Linked DNA regions of Nothobranchius furzeri. The protein of the gene in region 2 purifies or fractionates together with the protein of the main gene of each other region. This does not show direct contact. Links are inferred from orthologs where the notes say so. Each region holds a gene or a part of one and is shown on either strand. Other genes may lie near its edges.

What was found.
Region 1: the proteins of slmapa (region 2) and stk26 purify together in Homo sapiens (affinity purification with mass spectrometry; 5 studies listed by BioGRID and IntAct, with this or other methods). This does not show direct contact. The link is inferred for Nothobranchius furzeri from reciprocal best matches to the Homo sapiens genes SLMAP and STK26.

What each region holds. Positions count from the first base shown.
Region 1 is NC_091742.1:86,838,502-86,846,815, reverse strand, and holds part of stk26 (serine/threonine-protein kinase 26), read right to left. Parts: intron 5,923-8,314; coding exon 5,854-5,922; intron 5,776-5,853; coding exon 5,614-5,775; intron 5,437-5,613; coding exon 5,380-5,436; intron 2,417-5,379; coding exon 2,308-2,416; intron 1,269-2,307; coding exon 1,111-1,268; intron 1-1,110. UniProt on the Homo sapiens protein: Serine/threonine-protein kinase that acts as a mediator of cell growth. Modulates apoptosis. In association with STK24 negatively regulates Golgi reorientation in polarized cell migration upon RHO activation.
Region 2 is NC_091743.1:68,925,711-68,934,024, reverse strand, and holds part of slmapa (sarcolemma associated protein a), read right to left. Parts: intron 7,876-8,314; coding exon 7,813-7,875; intron 7,701-7,812; coding exon 7,605-7,700; intron 7,423-7,604; coding exon 7,351-7,422; intron 7,267-7,350; coding exon 7,126-7,266; intron 6,397-7,125; coding exon 6,259-6,396; intron 6,019-6,258; coding exon 5,850-6,018; intron 5,385-5,849; coding exon 5,334-5,384; intron 4,307-5,333; coding exon 4,199-4,306; intron 1,995-4,198; coding exon 1,929-1,994; intron 1-1,928. UniProt on the Homo sapiens protein: Associates with the striatin-interacting phosphatase and kinase (STRIPAK) core complex, forming the extended (SIKE1:SLMAP)STRIPAK complex.

The sequences.
Region 1 (8,314 bases), on a different chromosome or scaffold from region 2:
ACCTCAACAGTCAGCATTCACCACCTGGAAACCATGGCTTTTGTGTGTGAGGCAGCTGGCTTCACTTTTAGTACTCCAACAAAGAGCCTGATGAGGGAATCCCAGCAAACCTGAAACCTCATCATGTCGTCGTCTGCTGCACAAAGCATCAAACACAACCAGATGGCTGGACAGGCCTTTTCATCACATGCAAATAAAACCGGGAGCGCTTCGGAAATAATGCAAACGAGCTCAGAGTCGCGTTGATCCACGCAGTTTAGGTTGCCTCAGAAATATGCAAACCTCGTAGCACAGCAACAAGGAACTCGAACTAGGGTCAAAGCTGTTTTTAGACCTGCCTTGGACCTTATTAGCCAGTTAAAAACAAAAGTTTCTGTGTCAGTCAAGATTTAATAACAGAGAAATGTGGGTTTTCAGATACAGTGGGGCGTCGTCTGCGTACGCGATACGTTTCTGAACAAACCAGCACGCAGACAAAATGATTGAGATTCGGATCTGCATTACTGGCTCAAATTAGCTTCCTCATGTTGACTAACAGAAGCTCTGTGAGGTGGTTTGGTCTAGGCGAGATGAGACGTCATTTCTAAAACAGACGTAACTAAAAACAGCTTCTGCTTTTAGACACTAAAATAATATAAGTTTCATGTAGTTTTTGCACACAACAGTTCATGCAATAAATCAATTTCCACAGCAGATCTGAAGCTTTTTAAAAGACCAGAGGACACAAGAACCATTTTTAACGTCACGTTATCGGCCATGTTAACATTACCTGCCATTTTTTTATAGCTGAAAGTTTTATTCTAGTTTTTTATTATTATTTTTATTCTAATTTATTCTATTTTTAATCTTATTATTCATGTTATATGTAACACATTAGTACCGAAGCAAGTTCCTAGTTTGTGAATTGTTTGCTCACTGACAATGGCAATAAACCTATTCTGATTCTGATTTACTTTTAATAGAACTAATCTGTGGGTTCAATTCAATTTTTGGAGTAAAATGCAAGAAAATAAAATCTAGAAAGCAAAGAAAAATTTCACCTTTTGGTCTCAGCTATGTTGGAGCTAGAGAATAAGGCATGAAGGTTACCAAGGTAAACAGGTGACTGACCTTTGAGTCGTAAGCTGACTGCTGGATGACCTCAGGCGCCATCCAGAATGGCGTTCCCACGAAGGTTTCCCTCTTGATTTGTGTGTCTGTCAGCTGACCAGCCACTCCGAAGTCAGCCAGCTTCACGGCGCCATGCTCCGAAAGCAGGACATTGGCGGCTGTTGACAATAATCAACTTTTATTTTTAATATCAAACTATAATCCAGCTATCAGAAAGTTTGTCCAAACGTAAGAAAAACATCACCAATAAGTTACTCTTTACTGATAAAACAGCGCAACATTTATTGGCTGATGGACTACTTTGTAGAGCATATTTTACTCAGTAAGTCTTCTAAACGTGCTGCTGAAGCTACAGATTAGTCATAAATAAGAACAATAAACGTTCCGACAAACTTCCCAAAATAAAAGAAAGAAAAAGAAAATATTTTTAGATTTAGAGTCAATATCAAGTATCTCTAAATAACAAAAAAATGCCTAAGATGAGGAGGATAAACTAACGTCCACATATGTGGTGGACTCATGGGCCATAGGGTATTAGATAAAGTTATTACCCTACATTATTATTAGATTCATTTCTTTTAATATTTTAATGTCATCATTATTCAAATATTTAACATGAGAAGAGAACATTTATTAGTTTCACATCATTAACTAAAATTATAAGGTGGTAAGTTTTATTTTTTTGTCTTGGTGTGGAGGTTAAACATTTAAGAAAGATTTTTAACAGAAAAAAGATCTTTTAAACGGATCTGCAACTAAAACGGTTGAATGTGGTGCTGCTGTCAGAGTGGTTTACCAGGAATGTAAAAGGTCAAAGTTCATAGACTAAACTAGGTGTTTCCAGAAATACATTTAAAATAAATAGTTTTACTTCAAAGCAGGAGTTTGCCTTTCAATGGGTAAAAACAAAACTTTTAAAATGTGGTAAAGGAATGTCTAAAGAGTTTATTTTGTTAAACTAATTTTAGCAAGAAATTTTAAATGAAATCAAACAAAACAAATTGACCAAAAATGAATATTTTCACAACTTACACTGTAAACTGGATGATGACAAGGAACACTAAATGATTCTGGGCTTCATCAACACCAAGCACTAAAAGTTTGGATCTCTGCAGCTTCTCGACTTAATTTTAGTTAAATTATTATTATTTTATTTTGAAGGATCTTATTTTGAAGGATCTTATTTTGAAGTCTAACCTTTGATGTCTCTGTGGATCTTCTTCTCAGAGTGCAGGTAGTCGAGACCCTTTAGGATCTCCTTCAGCATGGTGGCAATCTGAGACTCTTCAAATGGTCCCGCCTTCAGCTGCGCGCACAAACGCACGCGCACGCACGCACGCACGCACGCACGCACACACACACACACACACACACACACACACACACACACACACACACACACACACACACACACACACACACACACCAGGTGATCAGGTTCATTCAGAATCAGATTAATTTTAAATAAGACTATGAATTAATCAATCGATTAATGTTTATTTATATAGCGCTTTACACTACCCAGAGGGCCACCAAAGGTTTAACCCTTTGGGCGCCAGATTTCTTTCAAGAAAATGTAAAATTTTGACATGACTGTTTCAAAAGGTTGTAGCTCGGAAATGGTTAAAGATAAAGGTAAACTGTAAATGAGAAAAATCTTCAGTAGGACCCAAAATTTGTGTTGGGAGCAAATTCGCTCATCTAATTTGCGCATAATGACATCACCAGGCTGCCATATTGGAATGCATCATTTTTACAGATGTTCCTCATTTTTTCAGGTTATTTAGACATTTTCATCATAATTTGACATTTCGAATTTATATACATGTATATAAAAGCTCTTGAAATTTGAATTGCATTGTTTTTTTATATTGTATTTTTTTATATTTATATTGGGCTCACTCTAGAGGAATGCGTTTAGTCATATTTGTCAGGTTTCTTTGGGATTGTGCAGCCTCAGGGACGTCCTTCCCACGAATATAATGATCATTTGATCCAAAGGAAAAATATTTTTATGATTATTTGCCACACTTTGGCTTCCGTACATAACGAACGCATCTGCTGCCTTTTTACGGCTTTTTAAATTTTTTTTACATTGCCGCTACGTCTGTCACGTTAGCGATGTTTTTAACCATCATTTCTACATCCACCATGTCCCAAACACGGTGAAACAAACTTCAAACCCAATGTTTGGAGCTGGTGCTGCACTAATAACATCTCCACTATCTTCTGGTGTAAAGTAGTAACTTCATCAGGGATCGCATTTGTAGCTGTGGCTCGTCACAACATCGCGACTTTGTTGCTTAAAGGGTTAACATTTAATATGGAAAGAAAGAAAGTAAAAGTGACATTAAAATAATTAAGAACCATGATAAAAAGTAAAAATCAGAACCAATGTAAAACAATTTAGAACTACTATAAAAAGTTATACAAAATGAACGCCATTTTAAGACGACAAATATATGTTGTTTGTTGTTTATGTTCTTAGCAGACGCTTTTACCCAAAGCGACTTACAATTTTTTTTTTTTTTTTTAACCTATAGAGCATGTTGTGATCTGTGGGGGAAACCGGAGTACCCGGAGAAAACCCACGCATGCATGGGGAGAACACGCAACTCCACGCAGAAAGGCGAGTTTTGAACCTGCGACCTTCGTGCTGCGAGGCAACAGTGCTAACCACTGTGCCACCATGCAGCCCAAATATAACCGGTTAAAATGCAAAAATTGGGATTCAACACAGATAACACCCCCAGGATTTTGAAAAATCATGTGAAAGAGGCGTCTTTAATCCAGACTTTAAGAAGGTGACATCAGTAATCATGCGCAGGTCAAGCTGGCACGAGGGAGCCTTGGCGATCATCTCGCTGTCTGCATTCAGATCTCAGAACATGTAGATAAAATTTAGCAGAGGGTCTCGTTTCTCTGCCCTGCTATTGTAATGAGAGCCTGTCACAGATGTAGGATGGTGCGAGCCCACGAACACCAGAAACAGTCCAACCTTGAATTCAATTCTGAAGCTAACAGAGAGCCAATGAAGTGATGAGAGGACAGGAGCGACGTGTTGCCACCTAGGGATGTTGGTGAGCAGACGTGCAGCTGCGTTTTGGACTAGTTTTGTGTGCTAGGCTCGTTTACAGAGCATTGCACCAATCCAGACGGGAGCTGCTAAAAGCCTGCTTGGCTCTTTCCAGGTCACAGTGACTTAAGACGGTTTTACGTTAGCTAAAACTGAGCTGAAAGAAGCTAGTCTTGATGACTGAGTCAATCTGCTTGTCAAAATTCAACACAACACAACAACAAAAATGACACCCAAATCTCTGACCTGATGTTTAAAACTTGGGGCTAAAGATCCAAAATCCGAGTGTGACATTTTGTATGTTTGGTGGGGAGAAAAACAAAACCTCTTTTTTGTCACTGAGGTGTAAGAGGATTCATGACAAGCACAACTCTAAGTCTTGCATGCTGTTAAGCTTGGTTTATGCTTGACGCATTCACTTTCCGCGCGGTGATGCGGCTCGCGGATGGAACGTGCTTCACAACTTGCAGCGTTTATGGTTCGTGCGGCTCGTCTCTGCGGTGAGCCAATATTCTCCCAAACTGTAGGGGGCAGCATGGAGCTCTACGGCATGCATCCAACACTACACCATAGTAGAAGTAGAAATTACTGTTTACAACATGGCATTCCAGCATTTTTTAACAGCGTCCTCGTCTTTTCCGACAGTGCGAGCTATTTCTCTCCAAGAATTATTAACAACATGTTGATCACGGTGATCTTTGAGAGCTGAATCATACAAATGTCTGTGTTTACGAACCTCTGCCGTAGTAGTTCTTGCCGGTCCGCCATGTTTTTCCGCGTCCGTCTGTCCGCGTGGTTAGAAATTTTCCGACGTGCGCATTGCGGAAATTCTGGGCCGTGCGGAGGCGCGGTGGAGGGGCGTGGTTGTTAAGATGACGCAAAATGACGCAACTTTTCCGCGCGGAGCGGTGCGGACCTCGCGGACGCGTCAAGCATAAACCAACCTAACGGGGCAAGACATTGTAGCACCATTGCTGGACTTTACTGGCTGATAAAATGCAACATAAAAGCTCAGGTTTGTCATCAGAGAACATCGTGTCTCAGATATTTTAGATGATACAAGATTAAGTGTGAGGACATTTAATTTTTTTTTACTAAACTGCAGCTACTTAGCATAAAACTCAACCTGAAGGTTGTTTTAGTGTTAAAAACTGTCTGCAGACAGACTGAATAGATAAATCCAGCTCGCTCACCAAATCCAGCGCTGAACCACCACCCAGATACTCCATGATGATCCATAGTTTACTGCCCTGAACAAGAAAACCATTTGTGTTAATAAGTTACAGCAAATGCAGCAAAAGGAAAACGATAAGCAGATGCTGGAAACCAGCAGCAGACACTAACTACGGCTGCTCTCTGTTAACTGTTTCACACACACCTTCGTCACCGACGAGACTCGGATCAGCCTGAACTATGTCTTTTCTCACCTTCAGGTAGGAGCCAAAGTATTTGGTGATGTATGGGCTGTCACACTGACTGAGCACGGTGATCTCCTGCTGGATGTCCTCGATCTCATCTTCCGCCTCCTCCAGGTCGATCGTCTTGATGGCGACAACACTCTGAGAGCGATTATCGATGCCTTTGAACACCTGTTGGAGGTAGATAAAAAGTTAGGATCAGGAAGGAATGGAATGTCTGAGACAAAACAAAGATGAAAATGGACCCACTTCTCCAAAAGACCCTTTTCCAATTCGATCCAGTTTGGTGAACAGCTCCTCTGGATCCACGTGAGAACTCTGAGGAGAGGAAACGGAAACATGTTGTCTTAAAAGTGTTTCCTTTGATGGAAAATTATTGTGATATAACACTAAATTAGTTTTTAGAGAAATGCCTTCAGGACAGTTATTAGCATCATAAGTAGGGCTGCTCGATTATGGCAAAAATAATAATCACGATTATGGTGACTGAAATTGAGATCTCGATTATTTAGGACGATTTTTCAATTTATGTTGATTTTATTTGTTTTTATTCCGTCATAAAATTGCTCAGGGCACAATCAGGACAAAAATAAATAAGAAACAAGATGATCACTAAAAGACATCACAATATACCTATAGACACATTACTAGTGTGTGTGTGTGTGTGTGTGTGCGTGCGTGCGTGCGTGCGTGCGTGCGGGCCTGCTTCGTCTTCTCAATCCCCAGTGAGTCGTGGAGGATGGCTGCTTATACTGAGCCAGGATTCTCTGGAGGTTTCTTCCTGTTAAAAGGGAGTTTTCCTCTCCACTGTCGCTTTATGCTTGCTTAGTATGAGGATTGCTGTATAGTCACTGACACTAGTCAGTGACTTGATGCAATTTGCTGGGTTCCTTATATAGGAAACATTATTTCTGATTGGTTTAATGAACTGTGAATTGGAATGTTTATTATGTGAAGTGCCTTGAGACGACTCTTGTCGTGATTTGGCGCTATATAAATAAACTTGAATTGAATTGAATTAAAATAACCCGATTCCCAGTATAAAAAAGACCAATACACTTATAGCTCATAGTTTATGACCCAAGGGCTATAGACCTTGGTTTCAGGGGTGTGTCCAGGGAGTGGTCTGGGGTAGCACATGCCACCCTTGGAATCTGATTGGCCACCCCAGGTACCACCACACTAATTTAACTTTAAATAGGCTTTTCATTGTCCACAAAAGGCTTGGGGGTAAAACAAAAAGAAAAGCATAACCATTGGTGCCACCCATGCACAAAGTTGTGCCTCACCTGGGCCACCCCATTCTAAAAGATCTGGACACGCCACTGCTTGGTTTAACTCATTTAAGTCTAACCAGTACAGACCCAAATACCAATATCTTGCAAATACTGACAGCAAGAATTATGCAGTGGCATTTATAACAAATACATGCAAATAAAGTGATGTTCACAAAATGTTGCATAACATTTAATGAGTCGTGTCAAGGTGCTGTAGGAGAGTGCACTAGCACCGTGTCCTCAGAGAGGTTAGTTATTATTTATCAGCGTGAGGAACTTATTTATACCTTATTCATGAACTATTTATTTACAGATCCGTCAGTTAATGTAATAATTGTCCCAACCACAGCTGTGGGAGGAGCGCTTCATTTGCAACTCGGGCAGCGCAAGTGGGAGGAGCAAATAATCGGCTTGTTTTGTTTTTATAATCGTTCAAAACTCAGATGGTAATTGGGATTAAAATTCGATTAATTGAGCAGCCCAAAAATAATTATTATGTATTTTATATGTCGTTATTCTGTCTAAGTCACAAATGTTATATTTATTTATTTATTTTAAATTTGCTCTTCCTCCTCCCTCTCTGCTGTGCTTCAGCTCTGCATGTTGATCAGCGATCCTAGAGGGGCTTCCTTCTCTTTAGGGCACCAAATTTAAGTTAGGGATGTCCCGTTCCGATATCGATGTCGAAAGTAATTTGATATTGGCCCAAAAACAGTGTATCGGATTATATCGGACTGCATCAAAAATCTCTGATATAAGCAGTCCATTAAGGTTCACATTTTTTCAACCAATGGTTGCTGGTTCCCAAAGTCAGAGACTCTCTTGCTCAGCTTGCTTCTCACACCAAACCCTCTGTCAGGAATCTTGGTGTGACCTTTGACCCAGCTCTCATCCTGGATTCTCATGTCAGTTCTCTTGTTCGCTCTTCCTTCTTCCATCTCAGGAACGTTGCTAAGCTGAGTCCCATTCTGTCCCGCTCTGAACTTGAGACAGTTCTCCACACCTTCATCTCCTCACGCTTAGACTACTGTAACTCTCTTTTCACGTGTCTGAGCAGAACCTCCCTGAACCGTCTGCAGGTGGTTCAGAATGCCTGTGCTCGGCTTCTGACCAAGTCCTCCAAACACACCCACATCACCCCACTTCTCCTCCAGCTTCACTGGCTGCCGGTCAACTTCAGGGTTCATTTCAAGATCCTGGTTCTGGTCTATAGGGCCTTACATGGACAAGCACCATCTTACATTGGCGATCTTCTTAGTCCCTACACCCCCAGCAGGTCCCTGAGGTCCAGTGATCAAAGCCTACTGGTTAGGCAGCACCAGGCTAAAGACCAAAGGTGACAGATCATTTGTTGCTGTAGCCCCCAGACTCTGGAACTCTCTCTTCCTGAGCCTGAGATCAGTGGACTCAGTGGTCTCCTTTAAAAAGCAGCT
Region 2 (8,314 bases):
TCTCAAAATCCACAAAACACATGTAGACTGGTTGGGCAAATTCCCATGCACCCTCCAGGATCCCCTAAGGGTATAGAGCTGGTCCAGTGTTCCACGGCCAGGACGAAAACCACATTGCTCCTCCTTAATCTGAGGTTCAACAATCCGATGGACCCTCCTCTCCAGAACCCCTGAATAGACCTTACCAGGAAGACTCAGGAGTGTGATCCCCCTGTAGTTGGAACACACCCTGCAGTCCTCCTTTTTAAATAAGGGAACCACCACCCCGGTCTGCCAGTCCAGTGGAACTGCCCCCGATGTCCACGAGATATTGCAGAGCCGCGTCAGCCAACACAGCCCCACAACATCCAGAGCCTTAAGGAACTCCAGGCGGATCTCATCCACCCTTGGAGCCTTGCCACAGAGGAGCTTTTTATCTACCTCAGTGACCTCAGCACCAGAGATTTGAGAGGCCAACCCAAAGTCCCCAGACTCTGCTTCCTCACTGGAAGACGCTTCTGTGGGATTGAGGAGATCTTCGAAGTATTCTGCACACTGATCCACAACGTCCTGAGTAGAGGTCAGCAGCACACCGTCCCTACTACAGATAGTGTTGGTAGTGCACTGCTTTCCCCGCCTGAGGCGCTGGATGGTGGACCAGAATCTCCTCGAAGCCATACGGAAGTCTTGCTCCATGGTCTCACCAAACTCCTCCCATGCCCAGGTTTTTGCCTTGGTGACCACCCGAGCCACGTTCCGCTCGGACTGCCGGTACCCGTCAGCTGCCTCTGGAGTCCCACAGACCAAAAGAACTGATAGGACTCTTTCTTCAGCTTGACAGCATCCCTAACCACTGGTGTCCACCAGCGGGTTCGGGGGTTGCCACCACAAAAGGCACTGACGATCCTGCGACCACAGCTCTGGTCGGCCGCCTCAACAACGGAGGCACGGAACAGGGTCCATTCAGACTCAATGTCCCCCACCACCCCCGGAACATTTTGGAAGTTCTGTTGGAGGTGAGAATTGAAGCTCCTTCTGACAGGAGACTCTGCCAGATGTTCCCAGCAGACCCTCACGATACGTTTGGGACTGCCTGGTCTGACCAGCATCCTCCCCACCATCTGAGCCAACTCACCACCAGGTAGTGGTCAGTTGACAGCTCTGCCCCCTCTTCACCCGAGTATCCAAGACATGCGGCCGCAGGTCAGATGAAACAACAACGAAGTCGATCATCGAGCATTCATTTTGCAGAACTAATCCAGCAAAAATCTATAAAAGGTTATAATATAGAGAAAAATTATGCTGCGCTAAAAATCTATTAAGCACTCAACGGATTCTTGAACACTAGTAAGACATCAGCCAGAAATCTGGCTTATCGATTTCTTTGTTTTCTTCGGAAGAATAAAGTTGGTGATTGAACGTCCAATCCTTCCACAACAGGTCATTTAGGGTCAACAATCTCCAATAAAACAGACATGAATGTGAACAAATCGTTCAGGCTTTTGTCTGACTGTGTAAATCCACGTTAAAACCATCAAAGCACCCCTGCAGTATTACCCTCCCTAAAACAGGTTGCACCTGTATGTAAACAACAATAAAAGGTGTCGTACTGCTAAATTTGCTGTTTTTTAAAAACGTGTGTGTCTTAGCATCCAGAAACTTTAAATACATTCTCTTTGTCCAGCAATTTGTTGTATGAAACTATAACTATTTTCATATATATTAACTATCTGCACCCAAACATTACAAAGAAAGTTTCCTCTCCAATAAATAAAAAAACAATTCTTAAGTTTTAATAAAGAAACACGATACTGGCCCTTAGACCAACTCTCTTCCTTGTTGACTTCTGTTTTGGTGCTCTTCCTGACAGCAACGAGCCTCCGTAGAGCAGCAGGTAGAAGATAAAGAGTGTGTATCTGTAAACATCTGAAGGGCATGTTTGTACTCACGCGGACACTCAATCAACTGTGGGGTTCTAGGTGAGTCTCCTCCACTGTTGTTGACATGACAGTTGTCTGACAGAGACACAGAGGACCACAACCATCAGACTGGAGCCGGGCAGAACTTAGACCTTACCGACTCTGCTCATCAGTACCAGATAGAGCTGGACCTCAGACACAAACGTGATCTTTGTTTGAAGCAGGGCTTCTTAATCTCATTATTATTTGTATGATAGTATAAAAATTTTAAATCAGAAAACAAATTAGTTGAATGCTGATCTTTTACATTCATACATACGTTTGTATAAAGACTAGGGGTGTAACGATACATGTATCATATTCAGAGTTCAGTAAGGGACAGAGTGTACCAGGTTCCCCCACAGACATGTAACATTAATTTTACCCAACAACACATGCAGCTGTGTCCCAATTCAGAGGCTGCATCCTTCGAAGGACCCGACCTACCCGGTCTAGGGAGGCTGGTGTCGGTACCAGACACCAGTCCTTCGTTTACTGAAAGTGAGCGACTGTGAAATTTGAAGGTCTAGCCTTCAGATTTATCCCTGCCCTAACATTGGCTTAAGTATCATCGCCTAGCAACCATGACAATGTTAAATAGAAGTTCATACTTAGCAGTGATGCAGGCTGCCTCTGTCCCCATTAGGTCTGGAGGCAAAATAAATAAAGTATTTTGAATTGAATTGAACTGCAACTACCAACAGATCTGTCCTTTCAGCAGACAATGTGGACAAATTCATATTTTTATCAAACATGTGATGGTTGAATGAACCTGATCAAGGCTACAAGCTGGAACTCCTGATGCTGCATTAAGAAAATATAGAAAGTTAATTTCCTAAACTTTTCAAAAATTCTGCCTGATGTTTCTGTTACAGCTGAGAAAATCGAACCGTGACATTGAAACCGAGGTATGTACCAAACCGGGATTACCCCTTCTTTCCACCGGAGCCGTCAGCAGCAAGTTACTGCAGCAGCACGTCTTGCTCGCGTAAGCTGCTGCTTGGCCCTTCCCACGAGACGCGAAGCAGCAGGGGAGCAGCTGTCACCGACAGAGCACGAAGTCACATGAGTGACTTCGTCAGTAAACACAACAACAAGCAGGAGAAAATTACAACATGGTTTGTGTTTTATGTTCTGTCCGTTTTATAATCGCCAAAACGGACCTGAAACACAAAGGAGACCGCTAGCTAGGTGATAACTTCTCACGGGGCCGCACAGCTAGTCACTTTTTTTTAAAGTAAAGTAACCGGAAGGCAGTACGTTTCTTTATTCTGAAAATCTCGGGAGCTTCGCTCCGTTTCCGCATCCGATTTCCTGTCTTTCCTTCCCCAAAAATGTCGAACTTGACCCGTTTCAGAGGTGTCGCGCGTAGAAAATAGAACCAGCGCGTAAGGGCCGTGACATGCTGCTCCTGAGACGCGGCCGACTCGCGCTGCTGACGGCTCCGGTGGAAAGAAGGGTTTACAGGCGTGCCGTTACACCCCTAGTGAAGCTCTCAACATTGTAATTTCCTGGACTGAAGAAGCAGAATCATAATAGAAAGATTGAAGCATAAATCCCAAACAGTAATGTTTTATGAGTAATGCCACAGTGAGGACAATGAGACAGATAAAAGCAATTAAAGCATGGCAGTGCTGACGAATTATAGACAGACAAAAACTAGATGGACAGACAGGCGCTGGCCAGACAGATGGGGAAGAAATCAAAGATAAAAAAGCAACAACTTGTTTCCGAGAGTAAAACACGGTGGTTCTGGTACCAGAACTCCTGCCAGAACAACAAACAACTGCAGACTAGCCAACCGTTTTACATTGAGATGTCTTTTGTGAGCGTGAACACTGAAACTAATTCTCAACACCCAAACATTATTTGCTTCACAACTGAAACAAAGAAAAGCATGAAGGGATTATTATTATTAATCACGTTTCTTCTGGACAGAGAACTCAAACAGGCAGCCTAATAAGCAAACCCGTTTCTTATATTTACATTTCTACTAAATTCCTCTGGAACCAAACTTTGTTCCACCTTTTAAACATGTTTGTTTTTGAATCAAATACATCACTGGTGATTAACATGAACTCTTATCTAGTTTTCTACATTTGTTTTTAACATAAATCAAATTAACAAACAATCCCTAGAAAGAACTCAAATATAACATTGATTCCTTCTTTATTTGAAAGCATAAAGGGCTTATTGTCTTTCATTCTGAAGACAAAAACGTGCTTGATATTTTATTCTGTTATGACAATTAAACTAACTACCATCAGTATCTGAATCCCGCTCATCTTCGTCTTGGCTCTCAGCCGTCTCCAGGTTCAGTTTGTCTTCGACAGGTTCCTCTACGGGTCCACGGGAGACCGTGTCGACATCTGTCATGTGACCAGATCAGACACACACCATTTTGTCGGAGGCTCTACCAGCTACACACATGCACAGCACAAAGTCTAAATGATGGAGGGCTCCTGAGAAATGTGGCTGCTGTGGCAAAGTGAGCAGTGAACAGTCACCTAAAAGGATGGCGTCGACATTCAATCACCAGGAGTCAATCAGTGACCAAAAGCTTCTTTAATTTCCCCAAGAAGAATAAACAAAAGCAGTGGACAGTTTGAAAACTGTGGAAACAACCCAGACTATCAAACAAGCCCATTAAGAGTGGACAACACGTCCCCACGGACAACCCTTCTCAGACTGAAACACACCCAGTGGCTAAAATAAATGACTGTGTTGTTTTAGAAACGCAAAACATTCCCAGAGACTTCGAAAATCCAGTTAGATTGATTTTAGCGACATGGTCACACTCACAGCTACGTTTTAAACCCACTTAGTGGGAGAAAAAGAACAATTTGTCTTTTTTTCTAATAAACATTCATGTGGACGATGACTCTGGCCTCTTACAAAGCTTTGTGTTTTTGACTGGTTTTTATTTAATGTCTAGTTTCTATATTTAATTGTTCTGAAGCCTGATATAATAAAATATTCTAATGTGAAGAGGAAACATTACTCTAAAACAAAAAACAGTTCTTTAGATCTTTAATTAAAAACATAAAATGGGGGGAGTTTGTGTCTCTCCAAGCCTGTAAAACGGAGTCAACACACTTTCAGGTGTTTGTGGATTTATCTGTAATCTCTTTATGAATCATTTCTTGTCCTATTCCTGGAAGACAGGCTGAGTGTGAACATCCCACCACCTCCAAGATGAAAACAGAAGATGAACGACCAGAATCCCACCGTAGGAAACAAATGAACAAAGAAGAGCTGCAAGAACGGTGAGCAACAGGAAAAGGAATATCATGCAGCAGGGTGGCATGCATCGTTAGTGCAGGATGAACGTGTGAAGTGAACGGCCACAGACACACAACCTTTGTCTCACAGCAGACTGGAGACACGTGGACTCACCAAGACTGTTGTTCTCTTTAATGCTTTTCTCTTGTAGCTGTTCTAACCGCACTGTAAACAACAGCAAAGTAGTAACTTACAGAAGTAGATCTGATGAGACACTGCTGATCCAGCTTCTGATCTACAAGTATTTGTCTTCATAGTGTCACATAGCACAGTGTTTCCTAACTGGTCCTCAAGGCACACTGTCCTGCATGTTTTCCATGTTGTCCTTTTTAAACATCAGTGTTTCCCTGCTGCCAGACACCTGACTTAAATGAATGAGGGATTAACAGGCATCTGCAGCACTTGATGTCCTCCTGAGGAGGCAATAAGGTGTGCGGAAGCACGGGAAACATGTAGGTCAGTGTGCCCTGAGGACCAGGGTTTGGAAACATCAACATGGAGGACATGATTCACTTTGAGGTTAATTATGGAAATTATGATAAAATATATGATTAAAGGTTGGATTAAAGAGGTTAGAAGTAAGGACAAAGTAAATCTGTCAGGGTAACTGTCTGATGAACTAATTTGTACCTTGGAGGGCCGCGAGTCTCTCGTTTGTAAAGTCGTTGTCAGCCTGCAGAGCCTCAATACGAGCCTGGAGAACCTGCTCCTTCTCCTCCATCTCTTCAATTCGCATCTCCATCTCCCTTTTCTCTGTTGCCCCCTGCTGAGTCAGCTCCTCCTGCCTGCCCTCGGCTGCCTGGAGGAGAAGAAAAGGAGCAGCAAAAATCAGGAAGGGGAGACGAGTGTGAAGCAAACCAGAAATAAAACAAGCAGATGAAATAAAAAAGAAAAGAGTTGTTTTGAAAGATAAAAGAAAGAAAACATGAGGTAAGAAATAAAATAATACATTTTAGTTTTAAACACACAAACAAAGCTTTCAAAAGACGTTTCTATGCTGACTTAATTCTCGTTAATCCTGACCTGTTTGTTTAGGTACCTTAATTTTGTCAGTGAGCTCTTTGATCTCGTTGACAGCAGCGTTGTATTTGTTAGCCAGCTCCCTCAGCTCCTCCTGGCCCCTCTCTGACATCTCCTTCAGGTGGGTACACTCATCCTCGGTGTTACTGAGAGCGCGCTGCAGAACGTAACAATTTTTTTTTATGAACAAACAGCAGCTGTGGTTCAGTGACACAACCATGTGGTTCAACCTATGAATCCTCCACAGCATCAGTGGGTGAGACAGAGACATCACGCTGCCTCTAATTAGCTCAAATTGTCTTTGTGGGGAATGAAAAGTGCTGCACCTCTACATGAGTGCAAATATGGGCATTAAACTAGGTTGTAAAGCAGTCTGCAGAGGCTAGATGAGGTTAAAGGTTATGTTCAAACTGCCGGTCTTAGAACTCAAGTCTGATTTTATGCTGAAATGCATTTATCTGTTTGTTCCCATTGTAACTAAAACAAAACAGCAATTAGACTCGTGTTATCAGTCTACAGCACTGAAGAGACCCCAGGTACACAAGATGTGATGTCACACGTGACTAGCTCTGTTCATGCGTGCGAATATGAATGCTGCACATGTTGGTGTGTTTATCAGTTGTGCTATCAGAGCTGACAGAATCATGACTACGTGGTGAACAGAACCGTGTTTGTTTATTGTTTACATTTATGATTTTTGCCTCCTCTGGTGAAGATTTGAGTCGCCAGCCAAAGATCAGGGATGTGAAAGGTGGATGTAACGTGACATGAACGTTAAGACTGAGATATGTACCTGATTAAGGATCTGATGTGAAAGCGGCTTAGATTTGAAAAAGTCAGATTTGTGACACTTTTATTTGCTGTGTGAATGTGGCTATTAACCCACCTCAACCTCTGACAACTTCCTGACCACCTCAATCTTCTCCTGCAGGACTCTCCTCAGAGACTCCTTTGCTGTTGTCTCATAGTTGTGTTTGTCCTCCTGAAGAGCCAAGAGCTCCTTACGGATCCCTTCTTCCGTCTGGGACTGTGAGAGAAAACCACACATCAATACTGAATGGTAACATGCTGATTTGAGTGAGCTAAATGTTTGACTGTGTTCACCCATCACCTTAGAGTACGCCTGTAACTGACTGCCCATCACTTCCAGTCTGGAGAGGAGGCGGTCCTCATCGATCAGAGCCTGGATGAGACAAACTAGTTACTGTGGTTGAAAACTTCTCATTTAATGAACTTGAACTCCAGACAGAAAAAGCATTTATTTTAAAGACAGCAGAGAACAGGTCTACTGAGGATAAACCCTTACACTTGGTATCTGTTTTGTCTGTAGGATGTAGGTGAAGAAGGAAGGTGACCGTTTCCTACCTGCCAGCTGCTCTCCGAGGCCTCCTGTGTGGTGCTTAGCAGGCGCTGCAGAGTGGCCAACTTCTGCTCCAACATCTGTTCTCTGTGTAAGGCCTCCTGCAGAAACGAGACAGCCAAGAAGAAGGAGTTCAATACCACAGAGAGATAAATAACATTCATCGGTCTCGATGTAGATCCACAGACCAACCAGCAGATGTCAGTGAAGTACCTGTAAATACTGGGAGAGCTGGAACAGTTCCTGAGAGTACATACTGGGAGTGTTGGCTGCAACCTAGATAACAAAAAGCAATAACAGCTCATCAATAGTTTGTTTGAACTGAAAGGTAGAGGTGCAAGCTGTTTACAGGCAATCAAATAAAACAGAAATAAGAAAAGAAATGTTTTCAACCAGGTGCTGGTGGGGTTCTGGAGCCAGTCTGATACTGGTTTAACTTCAGAGCAGAGTCAAAGCAGGAATACTCTTCCAGTCAAATTTTTGAACTTCCTTTAGGAAAATTCTGATTTTCTGTGTAAGATCAAGCGTCAGTTGGGTCAATGAAAAAAAAAATAACACGATGGTCACAGAAATAACTTGAATCTGACAAAGGTAATAACTAATAAAAATTTTATGAAATGTAACCGTTTCATTGCTTCATTGCTTTTCAACCATGCTTCAACAGAATTATAAAAAAACAAACACATGGAACAGGCCTGAACACATATGATGTTAC